4 linked regions of the Neodiprion lecontei genome follow. The protein of the gene in region 1 purifies or fractionates together with the protein of each later gene. This does not show direct contact. Links are inferred from orthologs where the notes say so. Each region holds a gene or a part of one and is shown in the gene's direction. Other genes may lie near its edges. The genes, in order: mitochondrial intermembrane space import and assembly protein 40-B, cytochrome c oxidase assembly factor 7 homolog, mitochondrial import inner membrane translocase subunit Tim10 and FAD-linked sulfhydryl oxidase ALR.

Region 1 (6,858 bases):
AAATACCGTCGCTCGTATCCCTCCGTAATTGCACAAGCGATCGCGTACGCTCATATTAGGCAATCGCTTATTGAGCTCCGACTCCAGACGCAGCCCGCGGCGTTGACCAACGACTGATTTCTCTCTTCGCCACGCAGACTTGATGCACGCTGCAACGCTGACGGACGACTGACAGCCGGTGAGCCGCGCCGATGGCCTCCGACTTCCCCCTCCTCGGACCCGGACGAGTGGCAACAACGGCGAAGAGAGCTGAGAGACGGATGAAGGGAGGTGGTGAGTGTCTTTGGCGTAATTTAAATAACCCAGGTATTGCTCAGCTTTGAACTTTGTGATCCCCTGGTAAAGAACTGTCGCGTCGCCTACTCCGAGGAAGTTTCGCAGTCCTCGGTATGGACAATTGTTCCCCGATCCTCTCGAGGACGGCTATCTCCAGAGCTCGGCCGGGCACCCTCGAGTTGCGACGGTTAAAATAAATAAAATTAACTACCTTTTAGAAATGTAAAATGAAAATTAGTTGCGCCCAGGAATGAGATAAGCGGGCAGAGCGGCGCGGCGAACGGCCGGGTGTACGAGCACAGCCTCGCTTCATCCTGCATTTAAAATGCGATCCGTAGATCTCTCGGATATCTCGATCCCGCTCTCGCCCCGGGAGTAGAGACGACGGGATGCTGCGTCAGAGGAGAGTTCTCGGTATTACTCGACAGAAGATTACACTTTGTAACTCTGCCCTCGGCTAACGCCTGCTCTCCTGGCGCAAACTCACTCTCATCCTAGGAGCGCGCGGTGCACAACGCCAATGCCAGTCAAGTTCACCTAGTTATAACTGTCTACGCACCTAAATGGTACACGGGCAGGGTACGGGCCACCATTGTTGGCGACAAACACAAACGCGAAGTCGAGGAACGTGACTGCGGGGAATCGTTCTTATCATTTTAGTTGTTTCGTTTTTAGTGTCGAACCGTACAAAGACGACTGCGCGCAGCACCGAGGTATAACAACGCTCCATTCTTCTCGTAGCAGGTAGCCAAACGTGCGTGTTCCGCCGCCGCATTGTGACGTCACTCCCGTACGGACGTAGGTATATACTCACCCACCCACCCCACCTACTCAGCTTATCCGTTCCTCCGCCCGTCCGTCCGTCTGTCCGTCCGTTTCTCCTTGCGTTAATAAATCAGCCCGTCTCCCGTACGCCGCAGATAACTCGGCGGTATTTCCTCCATGCATGCAGAGATCCGCGTAGGCGGGAGCTTCGCCAAAACATAAAACGTGACCCCTTCTCTCTCTCTCTCTCTCCCTTTCTGTATCCCTCTAATACCAGTGCATTGGTCGAATTACTTTCGGGGGTCCTCTTGACCCAACCTTCTACTTCGGTTGGAGTAACCTCGTCAATTGTTGCGCGGACACATTTATCACAGATCCATTTACCACAAATACATATATTTTAACGTTCTACGTATCCGGTAATTTCTGTCTAACCAAAGACTAAACTTATTATAGACTGACTCGGAGATAATACAAGAAGGTAGAACTTACGCGAAACCGATGTGCGTTTTTTCCCCCATGGTCGGCTCCCTGGCTGTTCCGGGGCCCTTTCGAAAGTTCGCCAACTGTCACGGATATGAAAAGTGAAAAAAAGTATAAAAGGAAAAAAATAAAAAATAACGGATGCCCAATGCGTATCTATCAACGTTGCCCTCCGATTTCACCCGGGCATGCAGGCGGACGCGGAGGCTGGCCGGCGTCGCCCCTCGAGACCGCTTTGTGGATCTGCTCATAATTTATTGGGAGCTGCCTGCCAGACCAAACCGTAACAACGCTGCGCTACGTTGCGTCGCGTTACGTCGCGTCGCGTTGCGCTGCGTCACCGAGCCGGCCCAACCTTCCTACCAGCTTCCTACCTACCTACCTACCGACCAAGTCGAGGGATTGTTCTGCAAACTTGTTCACCGATAAGCGCCGAGATATATGGACCTCGTTATGTCGCTCCGTCCGTTCTATTACTTACACTCATCCTTTCGCGGACCCTCAATCAGAGCGGCTTAAACTTACTATGCTTCAGCCCGCCCCGCCGTGTATACCACACACGTTATACATACCTATATAATCATACGCACCGTGCTAGTGTGTTAGTTACCACGTATCGTACGCGTACGTGCAATCGGTTCATTCTTGCGATGACCGTGTACGATCCTGCAGCAGAGATAACCATTGGAAATTCAGTCGCTAAAGGGTATTCTTGCTATAAGGAGTCTCCCAAATATAACGATATCGCATAGATAGGGTACCCGAAGTAGGCGTTATGCATGTACGGATGGATGACATGGTTTGCATCGATTTATTTCAGGCTGACGATGACGCACACGCTCCTTGCTTCTTGCGAGCAATTTCACTCGCGTATCTGGAATACAGTACCTATTCTCTACCGTTAAAATCTAATATTTCCATTTCCATCGAGCCTGATCCGGCAGATTATGAAGTGAAATTCGTAGGTCGCTTTGCGCCTGTACGACCACGCGACGCAACCGGGCATACACGAGATCGTTTCAATCTCTGCCGGGTTGAAACGGCATCTGTGGGGGGCAAGTTGAACCACGCGGCGTAGTTATGCAACACCGAAGTTCTAGAATTCCAGCCTGCAGGCCATACCGGCGTGGCGAATGGTCGACGGTGATACGGGTGCGTCCGTAACTATTGCTAACTTCTCGTTCTGCCGTTTATTATCAAGGAATAGTAAATTTCCCTCGAAATCGTTGTACGATTTACGCTGCCGTCAATGTGAGTGAATTGTGGCCAACGATTATTACTGTGTATCATGCGTTACTTAGACGTCTCTTTGTTAGTATGCCATTGATTTCTCGCACGTTATCGTAGTACTAACCTAACCCGGATCGGGATCTAACCTTGAATTAAGGAAAAAAAAAAATAAAGAAAGACACGGAATGCAGCTCCTCGGTCGCGAGGAGAAACTCCGTTCACCTCACTAGGGATCGTAAACATTTTAACATCTATTTTTTTTATTCTCTTCGTTTACAGAGAACTTCCCAACGACTCGAACCGTGAGATAAGTGCGGTATTTTTGAAGAAGCATGTTATGCAGGCTGTGAAAAAATTATTCGGAGCTGTTGGGGCCAAGTCGCAAGTAGATATACTCAAGTACAACGTCAGCGACCGCAGATTCGTCCTTCGCTGTCAATCCGACAGCTACGTTAGACTGAGAGCCGCTTTAACGTTGGCCAGTGACTACGAAGGGGAGCCTTGCGTTTATACCGTTCATAAAGCGTCTGCGAATCTTCTATCTCTAGCTGCCGATAGCAGGACTTTTGTTCATTAAGTAAATTTGGTAGTATTGTTCAGTTTTTTCAAGTCATAGATTTAAGGTTAAATCAATCGTCGTTTAGTCATGTCGATTGTTAGAAAAGAGGGTAAGGACACAATAATATTTGCCTCCAAAGAGGATCACGCCTCTCCCAGTAAAGTGAATCTTCCCGAACCCGAGCCAAGTCCCGGTTTGATACTGGCCAACGGAGAAATAAACTGGAACTGTCCGTGCCTCGGTGGAATGGCGACTGGCCCTTGTGGTCTTGAATTCAGAGAGGCGTTCTCTTGCTTTCACTACTCCGCCGCAGAGCCAAAGGGCTCGGATTGCTACGACGCTTTCAAAACCATGCAGACTTGCATGTCCGAGTATCCTGCGCTGTACGGAAACAAGGAAGCCGACCTCGACGATCTTGGTCAGGCTGAGAGTCAGGCGGTAGTTAGCAAAGACTCTGAAGATCCGATAAAGGACAGTAGAGAAAGCAAGAGCGATGAGAATGGGATCGAAGCGAGCAGTGGTAGTAAAAACGAGATGCAACACTCGGTAGGGTCCAAATGAGAGATGTATTTACATATTATTGACAACGTTAGATATTGTTACTTTATGTACTGCCAATTTAGTAATTCCTTCGTTAAACAATCGGCTGTTGGTCGATATATCTTCGAGGCATGTGGATCAAACAGTTGTACAAAATTTCATCTTGCCGTCGATAGATATCGAAGCTTAACCAATAGATTAGAATATCGGCAATGTTTTGTATCCCTGGTGTAGAAAGCGGTAGAATATTATCGTAGAGGAACAGTAAACTCTTTTCACTTACTACCAGTTGTAATCGTTCGAAAGCATATGGTGTGCCGAATTTCAATAGTTGTATCTATCATTCTTACGTGCATTTTTGTAACACGCACAGTTGTCTGTTGCGTGAAATTGCGATCATTTCTTTTCTTCTATGGTACTGCTATGTCACGAATAAACGAAAAATGGAGCGCTGCATCTGTTACATTTCCCAACGAACGCTGCTATTCATGTGTAATTGTGTGATTCCTGTTTATGCATATACGAGTAAACCGTGAGAGTAACATTTTGTTTCAAATGTAGAATAAACGAAGAGCAGGGGGGCCGATTCGTTACAACGCTCCAAGTCCCGTTAACGCCGTTTGAATTTGGCGCCGGATTCGGTTAGGTAGAAAGTAGTTGACGGTTCTGCCGTCGTTGGCGTTGACGCAGCGTGTGGCGGCCATGTGACGTCAAATTATCCCCCTAACAAGTTTACCGAGCACGTCGGAATCAACGAAGTTCCCCGTCCCGTATTTTCCTACCAGGATCGTTGGTTAGTGAGGGCCGAAACAGTGACGTGGTTAAAGCGTGTTATTTATACCGCATCGGTGTGATTACCTGAGCACGTTGAGTAGGATACGCGTGTGCATTCCTTGGCAGTGTCTAAGAGTGTCGGGTATTCTACGTGGGCGCTCAGTTTTTTGGCATGCGCCAGGTCGATGAAATGGAGTCTAACAATAAGCGAACCAAGCCGAAGGAAAAGCGACGGTGAGTCCTTGCACAAGTTTCTGTTCAATCAATGCCCGCTTTTTCGACGAGTCGATCTTTTTCCATCTCACGATTCTTCGCACCTGCGACACATGATGCAACGATGCGAACACCGTGTGCGTGGAGGAGCAAGCACACACCTCACTCTCCATCCATCCATCCATCTCTCTCTCTTTATCTCTCTATCTCTCTCTTGTCTCCCTTCTGCTGATCGTAATTCTTCGCGAGTGCGTACTGCGTGTAACCGAGAATTTCTCGGGCACGATTACACGTATAAACGTGATTGTGTACTATCCAACTCGCGTGATATCCCCGTCCCTTTAATTTTTTACGACTTTGGCCTGGGCACGGCGACCGTTGCGCGGGGCGATGTTTTCCGTCCGATTCGTACCCACCTTCGGTAACCTGAATAATAATTTCCCAAAAACTTTCATCTTAAAAGCACGCATACGCGTTATCGTGACAGCACACCCGCGCCTGCCGTTCGACCGTGTAACGTTGACCTCCGCTCTGACTCTGCGAATTTTTGCAGTGGGTTTCGATTCTGAAAACTCATAAAAAATCCTATCTGTAAGGAGAAAAAATACGGATTCCATTGTTACCGATGCCGTCGGGCAGTGTGAAGGGAGGGCCGAGTTGTAATTTTATCTGTCCAACAAATCTAGCCACTCGTTAGGTACTCGCGTATAATTTCATTGTTTTTTTTTTCTAATCCGTAAATATATCCCTATTGTCACCTCCGTATAGTTGAGAAGTCCGAGAACAGAGATACTCGAGGCTAAAAATATCTGTCGTCCTTACCTCTTGCAGCTCAGACATAGAGATCGGTATGTAGAAAGTGCTTGTTGATTCTTAATAATATACCTGTATAACGGGGGATTCGTTGTTTGTCGAAATGGCGCTCACAGACGATCATCCAACATCGAGCACGTATGCATGTACGTATCTACCTGGGCGAAATTCTTTCGAAATCTCACGCTCACACATGCATCGCCGATGTTCCTGCGGGAAAGCGTGTAGATTAAGATAATGAAGCAAGCGAGCGAGCGAGCAGCTGGGTAACGATGACTCGATAATTTCGTACCGCACGTGCAACGCGTGTACCTTATGCGATGTATTAAAGAGGAGGGCGCTATCCGTTTCTCTACAATCGCTTTCGTCAATTAGTCGAACGAATTAACTATTTACCAGGGATCAACAACAGCGCATGGAAGTCGTTAAACAACGATTGCGGTCGGTCAACTATCGTCGCTATAAGTCAGGGAGCGCACTTTGTCACCGAAAGCGGCGGAGGCGCAGATCGACGTTCTTTCATACGCTAACGATCGGGATCGATTATTTTGTGTAATTCCTCGAACAACCACACCCTCCTTGACATCCTCAATGCCTCGTTATGGAAATTAAATTATCCATCATCACCGAACTCCGTTTTCTTTTTTTTCTTCATTTCGTTACCTTTTCGATTATAATGTCGTAACGCGGTTGCGTTGGATTACATTGCGTTGCGTCGCGTCGCCTTGCCTTTGCCTTGCGGTCGCCGTTGCTTCCCCGGCGACTACTCGCCGATGTGGAATATTTCCACTGCCGTAGGTCGAGCAGCCGTTAGCTGCTGTTAGATTTGAGGAGGCCTCGAGTATTACGACTCGGTTATGCACGCCAAGCGACCAACTACCCTGCGTCACAAATGCCTCCGCGTTGCGTTGCCCTTACTGACTCGAGATACATGCCTCGGGAATAATAATCCCATATCGACGCCCCGAATCATTATCTATCTTCACCTGCATCACAAAATTCTCGCCTGTTTACTTCGAATACGTCTCAACGATGCGCGGGGTGCATGATTTAATGACCGGCTATTATTTAAACATTAGTCTGGCCGCATACTAGAACGACAAACTTTCCGCATTCCACTTCGATTTGAAAAATCACTGTCGTCCGCGGATCCTGAAACTCGTCATTTTCTTATTCCGCGCTAACACAGCTTGGCGTCGCATTCG
Region 2 (7,507 bases), on another chromosome or scaffold:
ATAATGAGGAGGATGCACTCGCGTGAAGGGTTGGCTCTGTAGTTATGACCTATAACACATTATACGCCATAACCTGCGACAGGGTATGATATATATATATATATGTGTGTATATATATATAACCATATACCTATACCTACAGTTCCCTGCACGCGGCAAGGGGAAACAGGTTGAGGCAAGGGGTGGCGTTATGCATGTCAGTGGATATCGGCAGTCAGCGATGTGTGTCGAATCGATAAATGCCTGGCCGAAGTAACGAATCCCCGGTTCAACCCTCCAATTACAAGATTGACCGAGACAATCGGCCGTTTCAAAAATCGAACGGCCGTTGGGTTTCGGTGGCTGGAAACACGTCACTCTTGAGTCCCAAACTCTGACATTTGATTAGGTAGGAAATAATATATCCATACGGAGATGCAACAATATGATAATTGCGTGTTGTGTCCTCGTCGCTAGGGGCTACCTTCGGTCAATATCGATGGTCTCTTACTTATAGTACCACGAGAAGGAGGCAATTTATCATTTTTCAAAATTGATTCTTGTGCACTTGACTATGTATTCCTAATTGATCTGACAGTATAGAGTTCAAGGAAGAAACACTCACCCGACATCCTTCTTGCTGCTCCCGGACGGACATCGGCCTGCATCTTAATGCTACTTTGACGGACTCGCTCATCTGCGTGTGAACAACAAAAAATAGTGACAATTCGTTCATGATTTTAATTTTGTAATATTTTTCTAGCAAAGACCAATAGTGACAAACGAAAGTAATATCCACCTCGACGATACCCTCACGGAAAAAACCTTCAACTTTGGTGTAAATTCGTACCCTCAACTCATAGATAATGCTAAATCCTTGTAAGAAAAAAGTTGAGGGTACGAATTTACACCCAAGTCGAGGGTTTTTTCCGTGAGGGTAAACTACTATTACTGCGGGAATAAGGTGTTTTTTTTTTTGTTTCTTCGTTCACTCAATATTACAGTGCTTATTATACAAGTTTTAGACTGTATGACGATCGATACTAGCTGTAATTAATAGATTAACGCCAAGCGTTGACAAATTGTTAACTTCAATGTGCTAAGTACGACACGAAATAAGAAAGTTCCATATTCTTAATTGGGCCAATTAGTTTTGATTAACTGTGTTTAAATGTTGGAAAATGGTAGCCGTAAATAAAATGAAGCAATTGAATCGGTGGCTACGGTACATAAAGATATGATAACAAATAATTACTAAGTATGATCGTAACAGTTATAGAAAAAATTCTTGACATGAAATTGTTTAAACGATAATACGCTTCCTTTCACCGTAAATTTCTAACATGGTAACGTTTCATAGAGAATGAATTTCAGTCCTGCAGGACAATTTTCATCGTCGGAATAAAACAAGACGATAGGTTACTCGGGACACTAAAATACTTGTTCGAAAATGCCTTGAAGAAATAATAGATGTTCCTTACCATAAGACAAACATAAATCAACGACAAGATCCGAAGGTTGACTATGCAGTCGTCGGCTAATGCTATTTTCGCTAGCGAATATTGAGTCTGAAGCGAAGGTCCAAGCTATTGCAGGTGAATATCATCAATGAATTATACAGAACTATAATATGAGCGAGTAGCAGCTGCGAAGAAACTTGTACGTATTGCTGCGTGAGCTGTGCAAAGACCGATCCAGGTTTGAACAAAGATCGCAACTGGCAAAGTTCTGCTCTTCGTTAGCCGGAAGTTTTTAATATAAACCCCATTATTCACGCGTTGTCGTGTAATTTATTTAGCGTTCGGATAATCGATCGATCCCCACGATAGACACGAGGTGTCACCTTTATAAGCGGGGCAACAACCGACCATCGCCTACCCCGAAACTCAAGGCTTCTTACCCTTGAACCCAGGCATCATGTGGTCAGGCATTTCGAACTACACGCGTGTACCTTTACCTTTACGTGCAGGTGTACCGCCTCTCTGCTCAGTAGATGGTAGATAAAAGTGCTTCCACCCCTGTGTCGAAGGTCAGCTTTATGTTAATGCGCAACCCCAACTCCTCGCTGTTCGTAAATATGTGAAAGATAGGATAAGGGATGACCGGTTAGCCCACTCGCTCAAGCTTTTACCGAAGATCGATCGAGCGAGCTAGCAAGGCACGAATCGAAAGTGACGTATATTTTTGTTGACTACTCTGACGAGTGCGACAATTACCCCCTGCGTTCTATCGGTGCACTGTAGTTTCGGCAACTACGATGCTAAGTGTTGCATGCTTTCGCGCCTGATTCGCGTGCAGATAACGTTCATTTATCTCTTACAGCCACGTCTAAGACTAAACTTGGTGCGCCTTCAAGTGAATAATTACCATTGGACAGTGTATAATTGGACTAAACATATAGCCGTAAGATCTGTTAACGAGGATTCGTGTGAACTGTAGAATGTGAAAATACTGAACATGTGAAAACAAAAATATCTTTTTAAATATAATGGTAAAAATTGAATTCGGTAAAAATGTATCCAAAAAACGGATTTTTGGTAAAAAAAAAAATAGCCACATTGATAGAAAAAAATCACATATATCCATTGTTCAATAGATCATCGTTTTAGGAAGCAGCATGAATAGATATAAAAGAGCAAAAAAGAAATAAAGGCATGGTGTATTTTTTTTGTTGAAATCACCACAACAGCTTAACTTGTCGTACAAAAAAGCTGACAATACAAAAACTGTAGTAAATTGACTTGATTAGCAATTAGTCTGATAATTTTTATTTTCCGTACCCTTGTCGAATGCCCATCGAACATTAGTGAACTTGTATTTTTTTACCCAACAGTGTTGCTATTGATGTTTTCAAATAATTTATGCCTAAATCAGAAAGAATGAGCAAAGTTTCCTATTCGGGCAGCAGTGGGGTCAAAAACCAAAAGCTCCCAGTCAAGGGTAACCGATGAATCGGCGTAGATATAATTGTAATCGCGTGTCTAATGAATGATTTGGTTTGCAAATATACAGCATGATGCTATTAGCAGTAGCTGTATTGCGTGAATTGGGCATCGAACTGTAGTGCCTGGCGTTTTTCCGAGACTTAACCTTGGGTGATGACGAATAGTGAAAACAGAACAGTTTCCAGTCACGCGAATCGCTACATAGTCGAACTTCATGTAGGTATGTTTATTGAACATACATATTTTTTTTCCACCACGTCGCGGTTCACCTCATCATTATAACCATCGATTGACGATGTGGTATTCAAGGGCGAGGATGGCTCAATTTTCACGTGCTAATTTATGCCGACGCGACGAAGCAGGATGCAAGGTTGCCTGCGTGTAGGCAATCCGTGTTACTTTAGGCGATTAGCGTTTATCCTTATCCCGTAACTCATTGAGAGTTGCCTACAGGCGGGCGGATTTACCGATTGTACAAAAAGATCCGAAGAAATTATTCCCAGATGATTTTGAATTGAAATTAAAATATCTGTGCATGTGGGGAAAAAGCGACGCAAGAATGTATCGTATTACCGTGCTAATCAAAGTGCGCTTTAAGTAATTAAGTAATTTCTAGTTTTCACCTCGAAGACTGCAGAGCTTCAATCAGGCTTCGTTGATCGAGGATAGTTCATGAAAACCGTGCCGTAGCTGCATGTTGTCAATTCTCGTTGCGACGGCGATATTCAATTCGCGGAGACAATAATTTCGCACAGAGCGCCGATCCAACCAAGCGCGCGACTGACTCTCAACTGACCGACTGATATTTCAAAGGGCTACAATGCTCGAGACGAGCACCGTAATTCGAGATATCGAACTTGCGCACACCCGGTCTCGTCAATCTCGTTTGCCGACGGCGCTCAAGGTTCGATTGTCTCCAATTTTCTCTCGCGAATCTTTCTCGTTCTAATGTCGTCTTTTTAATTCATATTGCGGATTTATCGTGACAGGGCATGGCTGGCTACAACTTGAAGAGCCCTGAAGAGGTGAAAGAGTATCTTAAAAACCTTCACATCGAATACAAATTCGGATGTCTCAGCGAGAAAAACCCGGAAAGTAATACCACCCTTCCTTTTATAACCTCATTTCCGACTTCCGCTGCGCGTTTAAAAGCATTCAATTTTCACATTCTGTGTTATGTTATTCAGCATGTCACCTCCTTGGAGATTACGAAGAGAGTATAAGTAAGGATTATGAAAAGTCGGCCAAAATCTACAAGGAAAATTGTGACGAGAGAAACTTTGCCCACAGTTGCCGAAAGTTTGGAGGTTATGCACTAATCGGTGAGATCAATCCCTGTATTAGATTGTTCTAAAATAGGTATACAGAACTTCAGCTAAGATTACAGAAAATGTAATGTTAAACAAAGGCTTGAACGTAAAAATTTTCATAAAGCATCCCATTACTCCGTATTTAATAACTGTAACGTGTTTGGTTTTTTTTTTTTCAATTTCATGTTAATTCTTTACAAAGGCAAAGGTCTGGATGCGGAATCACCTACAGAGTCTTACAAGTATCTGAAAAAAGGATGCGATGTTGGAGACATGATGTCCTGTGCGCATGCAGGAATTGTGGCAACGTCCTCGTTTAAAATTGGAGAGAAAGAAGTTCCCATAGATTTTCCAACGGGGCTTGATTTACTTCACAAAACTTGCCACGAGCACAAGTTGGAAAAAGCTTGCTACTACCTGTCAGGACTCTATCTTGGCGGGGTTCCGGATTACTTGGAAAAGAACATGAAGGAAGCTTACAAGGCTTCGATGAAAGCTTGCGAGCTTGGAAACGCATATGCCTGCGCCAACTTGTCACAAATGCATGCACGTGGCGACGGAGTTCAGAAAAATTCTGAACTTGCCGAAGCCTTCAAGCAACGAGCACTCTCGATTCAAAGGGCCTTGCAAGAGACCAAACATATACCGTTTCAGCAGGGTATGGGAAGCTAACGTGACTGCCAGTACGTTTGATAAATTGTTGAGACTTATTTCGTTGACATTTATGTACATTTATTTGTTTTCAATTATAGCAATAAATTAATTGTTTTTAGTTTAATCCTTGTCGTGAATATCTACCTACTAGTATGGTATTACAAACATTCATTTTACTCTCTTTAAACTGGTAACAGAAATTCTTTAAAAAACCTCCCAAATGATCAAGGTTCACACTTCTTTCAATGGTATTCAAATCTGTAGATTATCGCAAAATCCGTAAGTTTCTTCTGTTCCTGTATCCGAAATGGTTTGAAAATTAAAAAATTCACAGGAAAATGTAGAGTATAATTGCGTTTTCCATACAAAGTTAGAAACGGGCTAGCAAAAGGCTACAATGATATCGATTGACTTCGATTATAGGTAAAAGGAGCTACTTAGGTGATATTGCGTTGATCGTGGCAAATGAATTTATGAATGTTCGCTCTCACGTCACCTCAGTGGCCTATTAACAGGCGCACGAATGTGACTAACGTCTGGTCAAAGAACCGAGTCAGATAGAGTTTAACTAACATAAGAATATAATGAAGCGACGCTTTGTCGTGCAAATTGCAAATACGACGTAGAACTCGTGGAGGACAGTCATGAACGTAGTCTCAGCATGCTGATTAGAGTTCTCATGATTAAAGCTGCAGTACCTAAGCATTTGGCTTATCGATAGCTATTGAAAACTACATACATAAATCTATAATTGCGAATGAATTCAAGGATTACGAATGATGATGAAAATAATTGCAGTTAGTGATCAACCTCTAGTTATACCTGTATTCATACTTCAGTGTTTACAGTAATATCAAACTGTGCTTTTACATTGCCGTCTGTGTTGATAATATGATAAATTGACAATGGTTAGTAAGAATTGTATAAGATCAATTAGATTAATGGCTTTTCACATGGTTTCAAGATAGCACTTGCTTTTGTTGAGTTATAGTCACTGAAAGAGAAACAATTTTTCTCGTATAATGTTAAGAACTTCAATATTTGCCCACAACCACATCTGCGAAAATGCTATCACAATCGGCTTGTTACATCGTCAACGGATTGTAATAATTATAACGTATATTAGCCTTACGAATAACAAGTTCTTCCAATTTGAACTTGTCGGTTATCGTATAAAACATTCTTGGGGTAAAAGTTTTTTGACATCTAGTGAAGGTGTCCAAATCCATGTATACAATATCCTCACTAGCTCACAATTTTTTAGAAGTAAACTGCAGGATCGCTTCTAAAAATCCAACCCCGAGATTCATTAACACGCAATGAACGAATTGTTCTGATTACGATACGGACACGCCAATAGCGTATAAGGACACGATCAACGCCCACAATCGGATATCCAACACACATACCTATGTATGAATATATACTTAAATTTTACAGCAAAGCAACAACTGATTAAATACCAATATCCGAGTCAGCTGCTTTTTCCATTACGCAAATATTTCGGCAATCCAATTACATTTTCAAAACACCTGAATGTAACCCAGAAAACTCTAAAAAGTACCCAGGTAACAAGGCAATAAGTGAACAAATATTTTCCTACTACATTGTAGGAGCGACGTTGCTGGTATATATTATTTCACCTAGTTTTTGCCATAGTTAAAAAATGAATTTAAAAATATCCGAATCCATAGACTTCGCGATTACTCCGCCACTGCCTCGCAGCGATCTGCGAAGGTACAAAATTACACGCAAACAAAAACATGGAGTAAAAATTCCTGAGACAAACGTGTCTCTCGAGAAACACTGTGCAGTTGGTTACCACGCCAGTTCTGTCGCCAGTCTGGTCGGCGTCAGCAGAGTTGGACAAGCGGTCGAGGTTCTCTTCCATACTCAGGTATGTACTAAAAACTCGACCCTGTAACGGCCGATCTAGAATTGGTATTTCTAAACTGGAATTTATAAAACGACAAATCTCGATTCTCGATTATAGAAGCGATGATCAAACTCGCATGTATACTAGACGCAAACACATGCAGTTGTTATTCAAAAGTGTCGGCAGCTGAAGATTGTTTATCGTATGACTAAAGCATACGTGAGGGGGATTTAAAATTAACTCAATTTAAATCGGTGTAGTTATAAGTTTAAATCGTAATCGACGTATTGCCGGAAATATAATATTACTCGCCTGCGCGTGTTTATTTCTATATATTACAGTACCTATGTGTCTCAGTCTGTGGAATAGAGCGAGATTTTTTTACAATAGTGATCGCTTCGATGAAGAAATCGAAACCCGGTTAGTTTCGTAAAGTAATATCTGGCGTGTATCGTAAAGATTGCGGAATTTTGTGAAAAATTATAGCAACTTGGATTTGCGGTAGGCAATCACAAGTAATACGTATGCTGTGCGGATAGAGAGTTCTGAGTAACGGTTTTTCGGACCGTGAAAGTCAATATACCAGTCAGTATATAGAAATTGCGTATTTCGATCGAAACTCAGTTTGAATTACACTCGATGATGAATATTCTTACAATACATATATATTTTCAGTAATTTTAACCGTATATTGTGAAAATATACATATTTATTTTTGCAGGTATACTCATACCGATTACATG
Region 3 (7,365 bases), about 25 Mb from region 1:
TCAAAATTAAAAAAAAAAAAAAAATAATACAAACAAGCTAATAGTTATGGATACTAGCTAACGGTATACAGTAGAACCCCGATTAACTGGGATTGGTTTAACCGGGGAGCGAATTAACCGTGACCCTCTGGAGCGCCTCCGAGCTTCGCGTGAGTAACCGGGTATTAGCGGTTGTCTTGGAAAGGGATTGGACTTGTGAAAATACCCTTAGTTCACAGACTGCATCACATGCTCGGCAGTCACTATTGAATCGATCGAAAATTACTAATAATTCGGATTAACCGTGATTTCACTTATTCGTGGATTCTTCGGTCTTGAGCAGCCCAATTAATCGAGGTTCCACTGTACTCGTAATTACAAAAGTCACGTGAGACAAATTCGCTCCTAAAAAAGAGCGTATGACAAAATTAAGAAACGGACAGTAGTCCAATGTCGATTTAATTAACACACCGCGTAAATAACAAACACGCGTACGGAACACGCGACAATCGCGGGCGTTGATATTTAGATACATATTAAACTAGTTTGATGATAAAAACTGGATAATTAATTATTTTGTTCGAGTAATTAATAATCCGTGGGTCGTTGATTTCAGTTCGCATAATGGCAGATTTAGAGAAGCCGATTCTAAGGTACCTTCACGGAAGTGATGAACGTCATAGGAATCTGCTAGGAGCTGTTGGAATGAAGTGGAATAACGAATTTCGGTCCGAACGGTGATCTGTAAGTGATACCAACGTCCGAAAATACTTTAGCAGGTAGGGCCAAATTGCAAAGATACAATCTTCCGTTATCCGCGCTATGGGACAGGGGCAATCCACCAAGGAGACTGAATTTTGTCATAATTCCTGGAGTCCCAGCTGACGGGGGTTCAATTGCAAGAACTGGTGCTCTATTGCTGTTCGCCCATGTTGCAACGGGAGCAACTGTCCTTGGCGAGCCTTCCTCGCCAAGAGCAAGGAGAATGAGATCAGCTACTGCGGGAAGATTCTTGTACCGAGTTTCAACCCTGTTTCCCGATAGCTTGTACAACGACAATTCCTGCAGCAGGAAGACGTCTTCCGAATTTTCAACGTACACGACAGTCTTCACCCCGTGACTTGACAATTGGCGAGCGCAATTGACACCCGCAGCTCCTGACCTGTGGGGTCCACACAGGGCGACTACCGTTGGCCATTGGTGCGCATTGTTCGGGTTTAGTCTATGCCCACCACCCAATAGCTGTAGAATTATTTCCGCTCCTGCACGACCCAGTAACTCGACCTAAAAATTTTGCAGAGAACAATAAAGAACGGAATAGTTTGGATGAAAGTGGTTTTTAGGCCTGTCAAGTTTCTCTACTTACCCTGCGATCCCAGCTAATACCTAGTCTATCAGCAGCACCGATTAATTGACGATGGAGATCGACCGTTATGCTAGGAATTACTAATCCATCGTCAGTTACATATTCCCGGATACCAGCAGACGGCACTGCAATTTGTCTGAATGCTGTAGGTTCGGATTCTATTACGTTTTCATCGTGACGATATTTTGGTACACTTCCTCTGGTGTTTTCAGACTGACGAACGATGTCTGGCTTCAAGGAATTTATTTCTTGCCACACAGCCTGTAATAGTTTTATTTAACTAATTAATTGTTGTATAGCGCTGTAAGTGGTGTGGGAAAAGGTATGAAAAGTACAGACATCAGATTTATGAAATGCCATAATTACCTCCTTATTGAACAGTGCTAAATTTTTCTCAAAATCAAAGTCCTGCTCCATCGACTGATCTATGGGTGTTCCAAAGGCTTGTTCATCTTTCTCCTGCCATCTTTGTCGTTGCGAACTCCTTTTCTGGTTTTTTGTGCTTATCTCGCCTGGAAATAACAGTTCGGAATTGTAATTTTACTTAAGTATATCCCACAATCTTTTACACTACGATATATCAACTGACAAACGTTAAAATTTTACTACCGAAAGTGCAGGAAATCCTACCTAGATATATTTTTCCATTAGCAGCAGGCTCTGGGTGTGACTGCATAGAATCAAGCGGTTTCCGCGCATTAGATTGCTGTTGAATATCGGAATTAGGAAGTACCAAAGGTGGAATGCATTCAGAAACGGATCTACCAGCTCGTTTTGCAATGGGTCGCCTCACCGTGACTTTGCTCGAAGTCTGAACTTCATCACGGCAATCCTCAGCTTCCTCTGTTGAGATTATTTCTATATGAAGTATGTCCTTGGCACTATAAGGGAATAAAATTAGAATTAAATAATGTAAAAGATATTGTCGTTAACACCTAATCATCACCGATATGATCTAAAACTTACGACAGAACAACTTGCGGAGAGGGGTAAGGTACCCCGTTTCGAAAAGCCTTTGTCAAAGTGACGGTTTGGCCGTTAAGGTCGACAATTTGGCCTTGGTAAGTGCCAAGTGACTCATCGCACTTGACCGACACGGTACACCCTAGGAATTGCGTGGACATTGTATTGTTCTGAAATTGAAAAGGAAGATGAAGAGTGTTGCAGCAGTGTCTGTACGGGAAGTCAAGTAAATATCAGGTATGAAACTGTTTCAAAATGATTCAATGCTTGAAATACATTGAAAATACCATAACGGGTTTCGCAACCCCCTATGAGGAGCAAAAAACGAACTTTAGCAGACTTTGTATTCAACTGTAACCCGGTAAATGCTAATATAATATGTACGAACATCTATGCAGGGTGGATATACCTATTGATATATTATGCTTCGGACTAGAAATAGACGTTTTCGGCTTCCAAGTGCTGGAATACCCAGCCACCCTTTCGACCTGGAGAAGAAAACAATGGTTCTCTGCTTTTCTAGCGACAGGATATCCACCAATACGTAAGCAAAGTCTAGCCGCGCCGAGCTGATGTGATGTAGAGGTAGGTTAGAGCACGTTTATTACATTACCATTTATCCTCTCTTTGCATTTACCTTACGACTGAACTGCTCTACTGCACATCTTACGCGGTCCAGAGGACGCCACTCGACGGCTCGGCGCGTCGTATTTCATCGCACGGGGCACGATGCACGCCCTCCTTGCACATTCGTTGAATAGGATAGTTCGGATGAACGACATTGTCTCGCGTATCGCATACCGGGATGGGCGATCTTAGTAGAAAATAAACACCGGCATCGTGTTTGAATTCTTTATCATCGAACTAGCGATGTTCTTCTGAAAACATCGAAACATGGATTGTTAACACGTCGATGGTGAAAACAAGCGCGAATATTTTAAATGATTCTAGCTACAATGGTAAAAAGGAAAATGAACGCGAAAATTTTTAACTTTCATTATAATTAAAAATAAGTATTAAGTATGAGAATTCAATATAAATTAAATTAAGTATGCAAAAGTAAAATAATTAAATATACAGATTAATAGTGAAACATTTGGTAGAGAACACAGACTTATTATAAAACTTAGTAATGTGTGTTCCGTGTTTATAAATAAGTTACCGAGAATTGTTTGCTCACAAATTTAATTTATTCCCGACTTGACGACGTCGACAATTCAGTATTTTCCATCGACTATCGATGTATCGACGTTAAAAAACACCGATCAAAAACGTCGATGCTCCCGTAAAAAAACATCGATAGTCGAAACATCGATGTATATCCCCCATTCCTATCGCATGCGCTGCATGCATGCGCCATGCCAGCAGGGTGCTGTTTCATTCAGGGATCATCACGGATTCCGACATGGCCTTATCGAAGACGGCAAAAGTCGGCATTGGATGGTAGGTATGTAAATGGACGAATAAGTAACAGTGTAGGTACGTTGCATGCACTTTCGTAAAAGGCAGACAGAAATATGTGCCATTTGCAGAATCGCATCATATTTCATATCAAATTTTTTCAATCTTTGTATTGGATTATACAACATAACCCGTTTAGTACGCATGCATGTAAGCAGCTTTCTTTCGCGGCAGCTATCATTGGTGAACGATCATGTCATCTCCAATTTTCCTCGTGACAGACCATAAAATATAGTTTTTTTTTTCCAGGACATTCGCCGTATTTGGAGGGTTGTACGCTTTTGTCTTGTCCAAACGATCCATAGAACGGAATCGCTATGAAATGATGAAAGCGAGGGAACGTGTACGAAACTCCAACTTTGAATAGACTGACGGAAAAGTTTGTCGAGGCCTGAGCAAAGTTTAGTTTATTATATATTGTAAACATGGCTGGTCTACCGCAGCTTGACGAAGAGAAGCTCAAATTAGTCCAGGATCTAGAAATAGAGATGATGACGGACATGTACAATCGCATGACGTCTGCCTGCCATAGGAAATGCATTCCGCCAAAGTACTCTGAGGCAGAGCTCGGCAAGGGTGAATCAGTTTGCTTGGATCGATGCATCGCCAAGTACTTGGACGTCCACGAGAAAATCGGCAAGATGCTCACCCAGATGACTATGCAGGATGCGGACTCTTTACTAAAGCCGAAAGAAATAGAACAGACTAAAACGGGATGAAGTTAAATGACTTCTATATTGTTACCTAGTTAGTTGTTTAAATCCTAAGTAGTTTCCATAATAGTGTGACATATAAAATCAAAATATATTTATGATGTCAAGTCTATCTGTTTCGCTAGTTTAATTTTGAATTTTCTACAATTTCTACACCATAAGCAGGACTTTCTTCAAATTCTTCCAAGTCCGTGTACTATCATCTAGAAGAAACTATGCTTTGCTCTGCAACTTGTGTTTCTATCCGATTTAATAAATAAGAATTCAATTAATTATCCGTTACTGGATTATACTGTTAATTTGTATTTCTTTGACATTCAACTGCAATTAAACTTGATGATAAAATTAACGTGTCTGATTATGGTTTTTTAATGCTCGACATTGAAAGGTCACAACATTCTTGTTTCGTCGAGTATAATAATTTATGAGCCAAACAGGTGCAGTAACGTTTTGTGAACAGTATATTGATATATGTAACAACGTTGGGTACAGGTAGATGCATTATCCGAGGTACGGTTATCGCACGATTTGCTGTAATAAAAAATATTGTCTTTGGCGTGCAATCGCTCCTATCTTTACAGAAATCCGTGTAAAACATTCAGTCTTTCATGACGCATATTGATTAGGGTTTCACTCTGGGCAGTGTAGCTCCACGAGAGTAATAGATGCGGCAAAACAGTGAACAAGACAGTAAAAAATGTTTACCCCATAGCATAATTTTACCGTTTCATACTGACCCTGCCACTCGAATATCGTATGAAAATATTTAATACCGAGCAAATTGTCTCGGAGGAAACAAAGAATTGATTGTTGTAGCAAGAGGGCAAGTATCAGTACATACCGTGGTACGCTACCAACGCTTGATTACATGCACCTTAAATACTTTTCCATTATTAACTGTCCAGGGCAACGGAACTTGCGAATCATTCAATAATTTCTTAAAAATCAATAGTAAATATAGATAACTGAGCCATTAACAGAGCTACACCGGAATTTTGTCAGATCACCATATTTAATTAGTGATTTCATCCTCGATTGGTCGAGGTATAGCCAAAATAACTGTGTGTTGACCACCACCTGCTACTCGTATAACAGTTCTCGATTCTAGTTGTCTTCCTTTGATAACAACTGGTGTCTCGACGTCCTCTTCTTTCCCTGTGCCTAACTGGCCACTGCTACCCATCCCCCAAGCATATAACTCTCCTGCAAGTTGCAAAATAGTTATCCCCTAAGAATTGTGTTCAATGCAAGGTCGTAATTAGAGATATTAATTGTAAATGTAAAATGAGCAATTCAATCACCTGCACTGGTGACAGCAAATGATTGTGTACTTCCCGTACACGCGTCTATGCATTTAATTGATTTAAGAGCCGGAACTGGAACAAGTTCCTTGGCATCTGTGCAATTTGGTCCAAGGCCTAGTCGACCATATTCTTTCCGTCCCATGGTGAAAACCTGTCCCATTTCATCGAGGGCAATAGTATGGTGTTGACCGCTGCTGATGTGTTTCCATGCACGACCGCTGAAGGTTTTTGAAACTTGAGGGTAAGGATGTACGATAGCTTCTGTAAGACCTTAAACACAATTTCATGTACTGTGTGAATAATTAATAATATAAAAGAAAAAATAAAAGAGCATAGATTAATAAGAGATTGATGTTGGCACAGTATGCTTGATGGTATTCATAACTCACCTATTTGATAATAATTGTTTAATCCGAAAACATATATCTCCCCGTGGTGGTATTCTTTCACAAATGTACAGTATAATCCTGTCCAAATATCTTGAAATAATAGCTTTTTTGTTGCCTTGAGGGTAATTAGTCCTGGAGTTAGAAGATGGGTAATCCCATACCGACTGTGTCGGTCAGCTGATCTTGCAGCTACTCGTCCAAGCTGCCCCTGCTCAGCACAGCCACAGGTATATACCTGACCTTTACCTGTCAGTAAAACAAGATGGTCGGCCCCAGACGCGATTTTAATCACTTTTACACCAGGTAATATCTCCACGGGAAGCCTCTCGTTTCCTCGAGGTGTAAGTCCCATATTTCCGTGTGAATCCTTATTTTGAAACATGATAAAGGCAAACATTAATTATTAGTTAAACTCTATTTGAAATCTCCAGTCCTGCCGTTTAAATCTATATCGCAGACTTGAAACTAACCCTGAAAGCCCCCCACGCAAATACCCTGCCATCCTCAAGGAGGGCCGCCGAATGCGAGTCACCGGCAGTGACCTGTACAGCTTTTTCTGGGAGCGTAACAAATCCTGGAAAAGTCTCCGAGCCTTCTTTGCTAGTATCTCGTCCAAGCGCTCCCTCGTCATTACAACCAAAGGACAAAACTTTCCCATCTTTATTTAGGCATGCATTGTGCATTCCACCTGCTGCTATGTCAACGATATCTTCATGTTCAGGTATGACGGCAGGGCGCGTTTTTTCATGCACATCTTCGCCCAGCCCAAGCTGACCAACATCCCCCTGTCCAAAACTCAGGATCGAGCCTGCAATCTGCCGCCGTGGCAAATTGGGTGCAGGCACAAATTCTACAACAATAATCAGTGGCACGTCAATGTTGTAAGGTCGGATGTGATCCTCTATGTAGGTTAGGTATGTGGCAAAATGATGCAGTAATTCTCAGAGGTAAGTAGTCGGATGAAATAGTATGAGACTCACCATATCTGTGCTTGTTGTTCTTCGCGTGTTTCGCCGAATTCTCTGCCGGAGGCACCGAGGCAGTTCGTTTCATCGCTTTCTTGGGGGGCACTGCAAGAACCAATTTTAGGGTTAAGATCACAGCGAGATTCACTGGAGCAAAGAACGGAATTCTGACAAAAAGAAACAGCGTGAAATTAACTCGAAGTCAATGTTCTCGCCATACTTACT
Region 4 (8,775 bases), on another chromosome or scaffold:
ATTCGAGTTTGATTGACGAGCGTTACCGCATGGCTCATCCAATTTACTCGTGCATTCGAAAATTCCTATGACCTGTTATAATGGCATTTGTATTAATTCTGCGGAATTGTAAAGAAAAAAAAAAAAAAAACAATATTAATAAATGAGAAAAAATTTCGTTTAAGAGTGATTATGATGCTTAAACGCACCTTTTGTAATAACTTGCTTAGAATCCCATATATGTATCTATATACCATACATATATAAACGTATATATTTTTATTAATTCAAGTTGCAACTTATTCAGCTAACTTATTTTCCTTATATAATATAACGTTGCACGATTTATTTAGGAACAAATTTTCACCTGTTACTGTTACGAAAATTTGACTAATACAAAATATTAAGATTACAGCAGTCATTTTACACCTTTTTCTTATAAATTTGCCCGAAAAAAATCATGTTTACAATTTTACAACAATGATCTGACATTTTTCTCCGATTCTCTATTTCTTAATTAATACCTTTTTACTTCAACTATGAATAACAAACATGATAAGTATCTAATATTTATATATTAGATATATTTGCTAGATAACAAACGTAAACAAAATATATAGTGATGTACTTCATTTGTATGTTTCAGTTAAATAAATGATAAACTTGGTAACATCATTTTAATGGGCTGTCATAAGACTTCCTATTTACTTTGTCATTTTCAAATTTGTACTTCGTCTCGTAAAGCATTCTTACTTTATAAATCTGGAAAAATAATATAAAAATGCGAAATAATGCAAGCAACACGTGTCGGAATCCTGCACCCATTACACCCAGCAGGGGAGATTTATTTATTGATTGTATGAATAAAATTTGAACATTTGATAGTTTGCCATTTAAAAAAAAAACATTTCAATAGTTCAAAGTAGGAACGCAAGTTGTGCGTGAATCTGAGAATTACTGTTCACAAGAATAACGTTGCTTTGAGAAAATCGAGCAGGACTTGAGAATCAATGGTTCCAATATTAGTGGATTAATTTGGAATCGGACATAAATTAATTCTTATACTTCAACGTTTATTATTAATTTCATGGTTTTTTTTGTTTATGCCAACTTAGAGATTACCGATTTTTCAGAAGTTGTAAAGCAAGCTCTTCATCTTCGAGTAGACTAAGACCAACATTCTTATCGCTCAATTTAGCCTTTTTTCTATTTTTCTTTCCGTTTATTTCTTCATTATCTAACAACTTTCTTTTGGGTATTCTGTGAAAAAAAATGTATCATCAAGAACGAGACATTTTGAATGCAATTTTAAAATCTAATTATCATTCATTACCTGTCAATTTCATCAGTATCTTCACTGGCATTATCAAATTGAACAGCATCGGTATCCTCGCGTTTGCCATAAATTTTATCTGGATCTGGCAACCAGGACAGGTCTGGCTCGTTCTCATCGCTACTACCATCACTATCTCCTTCATCCTCTGCATCCTCTCCTTCTTGTTCTACCTCCTCATGAACCTTCTTTCTGCTAGCTTTCAGTTTCTGTTTCTCTTCCCGATGTTTTGCTCTTATTCTTTCTTTGAATCGTTCTTTATCAAAACGATCCTCCTCACGTAGTATCGCCTTTGCTTTTTCAATATCAATCCCAGAGCTCTCTTCATTTTCGTATTCACGTGCTCTCTCAGACATTTTAGATTTTGTAGGGTTTACAATCACCTATAAATATGTATTCATTATCGTTACCAGCAAATTTATTGCCACAATCTTCAAATTACGCCTCTGGCAAGATATTAAATTTAAATTAAGGTATTATAAAAATCAAAAATGTGTTTAACACATGTGTCATTTCATAATCTCAGAATAAAAATTGAATGTAAAAATGTATAATGTAAATAATATACATATATGAAATACAAATACCTGGCCCTCATCATCAAAAGTAGTTTTTTTATTCGCAACTATTTTCTTCTTCAGAATTTTTTTAGCTAATGCAGCTTTTGTGACAGCTTTCTTCTTTGCTGTATTTGTATTGTCTATGTTTTCAGTATATTTATCTTCCGTATGATCGTTCAGAGAATCGTTGCCGTCTTGGATGTCTATGTCTCGCCGTTTTACAGTTAGAATATTTTCGTCACTGTCACTATCCTCTATAAATGGCACACAAAATAGAACCGTACATATGGAGGAAGGTTTTTTCATATAGAATCATATATTCCATTATTCATACAACAAAATATCTTCAAAAACTGACTCATCTGTACCCCTCTAAATGCAAAATCTAAAAATACTTTCCACAAATACTCAGATGTATTCTGAAAATTTCGAACAGCTTATACCTATAAATTTTTTTTTCTTAAACTCACCATTGCCAAAAAATGTGTCTCTTCGATCCCGCGAATCAACAGCATGATATTCATTGTCACTATTCTCACGTGGCTCATTGCCACTCGTGCTATTTCCAGATCCTTTATCGGAATCACTATCTGATTCGATGTTATAATTACTTAGTTTTTGTGATATTTCGGAATTTGTAGAATCGTTTAATTTACTGAGTTTTTTCGCACGTAGATTTTCCTTCGCTTTATTGATTTTTTGAAGAAATCGTATCCTGGGTGGTATTGCCAATCCCAATGATCTGTCAAGTGTATGCGTCATGTAATGAATGAATAATTCTTGGAATGTCACTGGGATCGCACAGATTGATCACATTTATATTCACAGAAAACTTTGGGCAAGATAATGGGTAGGACCCCATCATATCATACAAAACTTACTTGGCATAGGCATCCGTATTTAGCTGATGCACGTCGAATATACTCTTGTCTTTCATAAGAAAGACGGATTTTACATAAGCAACAAAGGCTCTCTGAGCCGTCTCTTTCAGCGCCACATCTCTAGCAAGTAATGCTTCCATCTTTCTATGAGGGGACTGCAGTTTATTCGGATTGATTCTGAGAAATATATTCACATATTATACCTTTACCAATTTCTTGTCTGCCAATGTTCTTAACAATAAATACAAGTAATAATCTAAATAATGATTGCCATTTATAGAAAAGAACATGAGTACATATTACAATGTTGAGAAGCCACTTCGTTTCAGAAATTGTGTAAGTGTAAATTCACTTACTTGATAACATTAATAGGAACTTTATGTTCCTGCAGTTGCTCAATCATATTGATCTCACTTGGCAGTAAAACAAGTAAGGATTCTCCACCTCTTTGGAATCTGGCAGTTCTACCTGCTCGATGTATATAAGCATTGACATCTTCTGGACAATCCATTTGCACTACCCAATTCACCGCCGGGAAATCTAAGTTCGTAATAATTTTCATTATGAAATTCTTGTGACTGATTAAAAAAAAAGTGATAATCATGTATACAACGAATGGTACTTTCTATATACTTGAAGAAGTGAGTAAATATGACTCTTGACTTCCCAGATACATTATCACAATTTATCTAATTAATTGATAATTGATCAAACAAATTACCTAATCCTCTGGCGGCAATATCAGTAGCAAAAAGTACAGCATGCTGTTTTTTGCAAAATGCTTCATAAATAGCCATTCGTTTCAACTGGTGAAGTGTACCATACAATGCAAGCAAACTTACTCCTGGTTTTAAACGGCAAAACATATCATTCACGTATTTGACCTAGAAACCATTCAAATGTTGTACTTGTACTCAATAACCGTAAGTGATGAATCTATCACTTAGAAACAAATACCTGTTTGCAGCTGGAGAAAAATACAAGTATTTTTTGCCGCAAATGATTCCTAACAAAAGACCACAACATTGACATTTTATCCTCCAAATTACAGACAACATAACTCTGTTGTAAACGCTCTGGTGTCTTATGTGTGGCATGTTCATGAACAGATACATACATTGGATCATGTAAACTCAATCTGGCCAAATCCTTGACTGACCTATTGTGAGTTTTGGATGGTTAGGGTATGTAATCTAAAAAAACTTTTGGTAGGTAGCAATGTAATATCTGTTTAGTTGCAATATGATATACATACTTAGTTTGCGTTGCTGAAAATAAAAGTGTTTGCCGTTGAGATGGCAAATTCTCAATAATGCTATTCATCGTTTGCTCGAATCCCATATCTAAACATCGATCAGCTTCATCAAGAACTAATACCTAAAACAAACAGGGTTCAAAAATAATTGGGTAGGGCAATTCCAGATTGTAAACCTAACACAGTTGTTCAATTTTTAATTATCTAATTTCTCAGATAAGCAGCAAAGGTAATAATGAGGTAACTGAAAAATACATAGGGAAAACACATTTTGAATAATCCAAGATGTCTTTTTCCAAGCCCAAACGGTTTCAAATTCCAAAACAATAGTACTCTTTAAATTCAAATACATGCCATTATATTTTGATATTTTTCTTATGGTTCACGATTCAAACTCTTATTCAGAATAAGAAAGACAAAAACAAAATAAGTGGAAATGCCTCATTATTGAATTCCGCCACCAAGTATATACAAAATACAATATATATATATATATATATATATATATAAATATATACACAAAATTTGATTATACATCTGAGTAAACTCTACATTGATCCTTTGAATGTACCTGCATATTCACACAGTCAAATAATGGATTCTCATCCATATGTTGCAACAATCTACCAGGCGTACAGATGACAATGTTGCACTGATGCATCCGTTTTTTTTCAAAATGCAGATCTTTACCGCCGATAATAAGACCAGCCGAAAAATCATGGTAACAGCCAACTTTTCTTAAGGTTTCGTATATTTGATAAGCCAACTCCCTGGTTGGCGTGATAACCAGGGCTCCAACAGCATCCAATCGTGTCCATTGTTTACAGTACAAAATCTCTAAAATCTATTGGCAACAAAATTCATTGTCCGATAAAGTCATCTGTATTCAATTATATTATAACGGTGAAATATAAATAGAACTAGGCAGTGATTCAGATCTCCTACCAATGTTCGCAGTTAATTCATGACCATCCAAAATTGTCATGTATATATATTTACCGGTATTAAAAAGGCTAAAGTTTTTCCGCTGCCTGTTTTTGCTGCTCCCAAAATATCAAGGCCACGCAATGCTAAAGCGATGCTTTGTCGTTGAATTTCCGTCGGCTCGAGGAACTCGTTTACTTTCAAACCTCTTAGAGTTCGCTGCGACAGTGGGAGGTCGGAAAAAGTCTTGACTTTAGAAATATCGACCTAAATGGGGAGACAATTACAATTTTATAACTCTACTAGCAATCTTCAGCGCCTTCTGACGCTGACAGGTGCCATTGCACTCGGCATGCTACTCTTTAACATCATGCTACAATAGGTTAGGATATAAACAACAATACTGTAGTATGCTTGAAACTGACCGTTTTATAGGCAGCTTGAAGTTTTTCAATGATCTTCTCTTCAGGTTCATATTTTTTCTTATGGTATATCTTGACTTTTTTTTTCGTCCCTTTATTCGACATGGCAAATAATTAACCAAAATTCACACCTCAAACACGATCGTACCCTCAACAATCAGACCACATGGGATTCGATCACTGATACACAATCGTCAAGAGCCAAAAGTAGTGTGAAGAAGAGAAAGTAATTTCAATCGTTCCGCTACACTTTGTTGCACACATTTTTCACGGCGTGACCGCGTCTCCTGTACTACATACTCGATGCTCCAATCTTGCCACAAAATTCGCGTAAATATTTGAGAGGTTATGTATTGAATCACGTAACAAACATGAAATAAGCATTATCAGTTTTAATGTCACCTAAAGAGATATGGTTTTCGACAAGCCCTGTAGAACTTGTACAGATTTTAAAACATGGGCAAAATTACAGAAGGAAACATTCGATTCAGAACAAGTAAGATAGTTTTTTTTCTAGTCTACTTAATCCACATACGGCAATCTTGAATGTTCCATCATGTCGCTTGGAACAGGCGGTTTAGTAGTTAATATTTCAATTCAATGCATAATTCTTATTACTGCAAAAGTGGACATTTTTTTCTTATTATTTCAAACAATCAACCATCAACGAAGTATCTATTCGCACTAGAAAGTGAACCTTAACTGAATACTCTGGATACTCCAGCCAGGCCAAATGTTTAATTGTCTCGAATTTTACACTAAAAATTGGAGTGTCCGAACGATTATTCAAGTCACGCTCAAATTGCGTAACAAAGGTTAGATTAAATTCGGTCTCTATTATACCTACGTTACAGTTTAAATAACTATTTTACTATAATCCAAAACCACAGCAAACTGAAGATACGAACGACGCTGTGAGTGTATGTCACTCTTCAGAGAATGACTTGGAGAAAAATTTTATTTCCATAAACTTGACGTGCCTTGCAAACTTATTCAAACACTCTAATATCTTCTCAACATTCATAACACACCCATATTATATATATTTAGAGTGCTCCATATAGGTTCACTCTGTAGTGTGAATGGACATAACAAACAATTAAACGTTTTACTTAGTAGACTAGATGTGTAAATTAAGGATTAAGTCAACCCACATGAAAGAAAGTATATTCACAAATGTTCATTCTGCTGCACAGATTTTTCGTTAAGTTAATATTCACAATTAACAAGCTATTATGGTAAAGACAAAATTTCCGCTGATTCAAGATCTAATTGTTATTCTCGGTTCTTCCTTAATTGCATAGAAAACAGAACAAAAGGTGAAAGAGGCTCAGGGCTCTGCGCAGCAGGTAGAGTCTACAGGAGCAACAAATAGGCGCAATGATTGTCCTCTTGATAAAGATGAGCTAGGTTCTAAAACGTGGGCTTTTCTGCATACGATGGCTGCCTACTATCCTGATAAACCAACAAGCGAGCAAAAGACGGACATGAAGAACTTCTTCACTATATTTTCCAAGTTTTATCCATGTAATACATGCGCAGAGGATTTGCAGGTGCAACTAAAAAAGTCACCACCACAAACTGAGTCCCAGCATCAACTGAGCCAATGGCTTTGCAATATACACAATCAAGTCAATGAAAAATTAGCAAAGCCTTCCTTCGATTGTAATTTAGTTAATCAAAGATGGCGAGATGGATGGTTGGATGGTTCTTGTGACTGAGCAAATTACACATTGCAATTTACAGTCTTGTGAACTAGGTGCATAATGTTACTAACATTAAAACAATATTGAAATAGCCTTGAGACAAAACTTCAAGTTAATTAATAACAGAAATTCAGAATTTTTACTCTTTCGTCATTGGTACAATTCATCGGAATTTCATGACTGCAAGTACGTATTGAGAAATGTGACGAGGTACAGGAAAAATTTTTATTTGAAATCTTAGCATTTTTAGTAAGTTATATTCATTTGGCTATGGATTAAGCTCCTTGTTAGTGCTCCCTTAGTGTGTACTCATTCAAACAGAGCAATATAGGCTGATAAGGTAAATAATCAAACCATGGTTCCCGTTATAAATCATGGAACTTGCATTTAGAAAATTTTGTGTCTTTTATGTGTCTAGTTGTGAAATTATTAATATGATATTAAATATTCAAGTACCATGATAGTATTGATCACATGTTCCACGTATTTTACTTCAAACAAGTTGAGCTGATTACTCTGGATTTTTGTTATTTCACTTGTCTACAATTCATCTACAAAGGTTTCAACCTTCGTGTATTTTTACCTCGTTAGATATGTTATCCTAACTGCATTTGGCATTACTTTCCCGAATGTTCTGTGCTCATTTCATTAAGAATTCTCAATTTCGTTTCTGAAGAAACAACAGAATTTTATTGCGACGCAATGATTATGAATAAAAATGATAAAATAACAAGCCATCAGGAATCATCGAGGCATTTTTAGAGGAATCTGTAAAGGAATTTAGTCGTGAAAATTGATGCAAACAATTATGGAATCGAAACACTACAGACACCTGAGTCCTCTGGTATAATTCAAATTTGGTGAGTTTCAATTGTAGTATGCTATTTATAGAAGACGTTTTTTACGTAATTAGTATCATGGATGAGATGAAAGCTTAATTACAGCCACTACACTGTACACTATACATATACATGTAATAATGTTAATACATGTACGTTGTTCTTGTTAATTGTGTATATAGTGAAATATGCGTAGCATCTGATGTTCTAGTTTGCAATAAAACTGAACAAAGCAATTAAAAAAGGCAGATTAATTCTTCCTTGTAGTAATTTTTGCCTTCAGAGAGTAAATGCCAAAATTCTAAAAATAGCAGAAATTGATGCAATAAAGCAAAAGTTAGAGACAAACATTAGGACAATGTGTCTAGAGAAGTCAAAGTAAATCCCATCAGTGAACGACGAACGTGATTCAACCGTCGCATTTGCGACGAGAATAGCGTCCTACGATTGGCTCTAGATTTCTGGCTTGGTGAGGGCATATCCAACGCAGCCAATCGCGGGATGCTATTTTTGTCGCAAACGCGAATGCCGTTACAATGTAACAATTGGAAGCGTACCCTAAGGCGTTGGATACCTTACATGCGGTCAACGTGCTTACCGTGCTTAGGTTATAAATCTTAACAAATTTGTGATTCGTACAAACGCGTGTCAAGTTTGTTTTTTTTTCGACATTTCTTTGCAAATCCGGACTACAATGACAGTGAACAAGCAAATGACTAACGGATATAAAGGTATTGCAAACGCAAAATGCATATATAACAGTCGCATAATAATTCCTGTTATTTAAATTTAAAATATTTTTAATACTCCAGTGTTGTGGATTCGATACGGAGAGCCAAACTCAGAGCGGCATCAGATATTCATAAAAGAGCACTC

What was found.
Region 2: the proteins of mitochondrial intermembrane space import and assembly protein 40-B (region 1) and cytochrome c oxidase assembly factor 7 homolog purify together in Homo sapiens (co-immunoprecipitation; 3 studies listed by BioGRID and IntAct, with this or other methods). This does not show direct contact. The link is inferred for Neodiprion lecontei from reciprocal best matches to the Homo sapiens genes CHCHD4 and COA7.
Region 3: the proteins of mitochondrial intermembrane space import and assembly protein 40-B (region 1) and mitochondrial import inner membrane translocase subunit Tim10 purify together in Homo sapiens (co-immunoprecipitation; 4 studies listed by BioGRID and IntAct, with this or other methods). This does not show direct contact. The link is inferred for Neodiprion lecontei from reciprocal best matches to the Homo sapiens genes CHCHD4 and TIMM10.
Region 4: the proteins of mitochondrial intermembrane space import and assembly protein 40-B (region 1) and FAD-linked sulfhydryl oxidase ALR purify together in Homo sapiens (co-immunoprecipitation; 3 studies listed by BioGRID and IntAct, with this or other methods). This does not show direct contact. The link is inferred for Neodiprion lecontei from reciprocal best matches to the Homo sapiens genes CHCHD4 and GFER.

The regions. Positions count from the first base shown.
Region 1 is NC_060266.1:758,577-765,434, forward strand, and holds mitochondrial intermembrane space import and assembly protein 40-B, read left to right. Parts: upstream 1-3,400; coding exon 3,401-3,874; 3' UTR 3,875-4,330; downstream 4,331-6,858. Other genes in the region: ribonuclease P protein subunit p14, read left to right, coding at 2,813-2,835, 3,034-3,331.
Region 2 is NC_060260.1:27,874,233-27,881,739, forward strand, and holds cytochrome c oxidase assembly factor 7 homolog, read left to right. Parts: upstream 1-3,804; 5' UTR 3,805-3,916; coding exon 3,917-4,019; intron 4,020-4,111; coding exon 4,112-4,246; intron 4,247-4,436; coding exon 4,437-4,906; 3' UTR 4,907-5,012; downstream 5,013-7,507. Other genes in the region: osmotic avoidance abnormal protein 3, read right to left, coding at 605-676. UniProt on the Homo sapiens protein: Required for assembly of mitochondrial respiratory chain complex I and complex IV.
Region 3 is NC_060266.1:25,975,802-25,983,166, reverse strand, and holds mitochondrial import inner membrane translocase subunit Tim10, read left to right. Parts: upstream 1-3,593; 5' UTR 3,594-3,751; exon of another isoform or gene 3,752-3,787; intron 3,788-4,018; 5' UTR 4,019-4,194; coding exon 4,195-4,488; 3' UTR 4,489-4,831; downstream 4,832-7,365. Other genes in the region: enhancer of mRNA-decapping protein 3, read right to left, coding at 670-1,263, 1,346-1,606, 1,712-1,857, 1,976-2,226, 2,312-2,469; regulator of chromosome condensation, read right to left, coding at 5,495-5,685, 5,784-6,056, 6,176-6,542, 6,646-7,025, 7,156-7,245, 7,365-7,365.
Region 4 is NC_060260.1:31,866,572-31,875,346, forward strand, and holds FAD-linked sulfhydryl oxidase ALR, read left to right. Parts: upstream 1-5,658; 5' UTR 5,659-5,766; coding exon 5,767-5,850; intron 5,851-6,658; coding exon 6,659-7,075; 3' UTR 7,076-8,249; downstream 8,250-8,775. Other genes in the region: probable ATP-dependent RNA helicase DDX10, read right to left, coding at 729-741, 1,102-1,239, 1,313-1,695, 1,900-2,126, 2,343-2,614, 2,754-2,930, 3,110-3,293, 3,475-3,637 and 5 more; ribosomal RNA-processing protein 7 homolog A, read left to right, coding at 8,594-8,630, 8,712-8,775.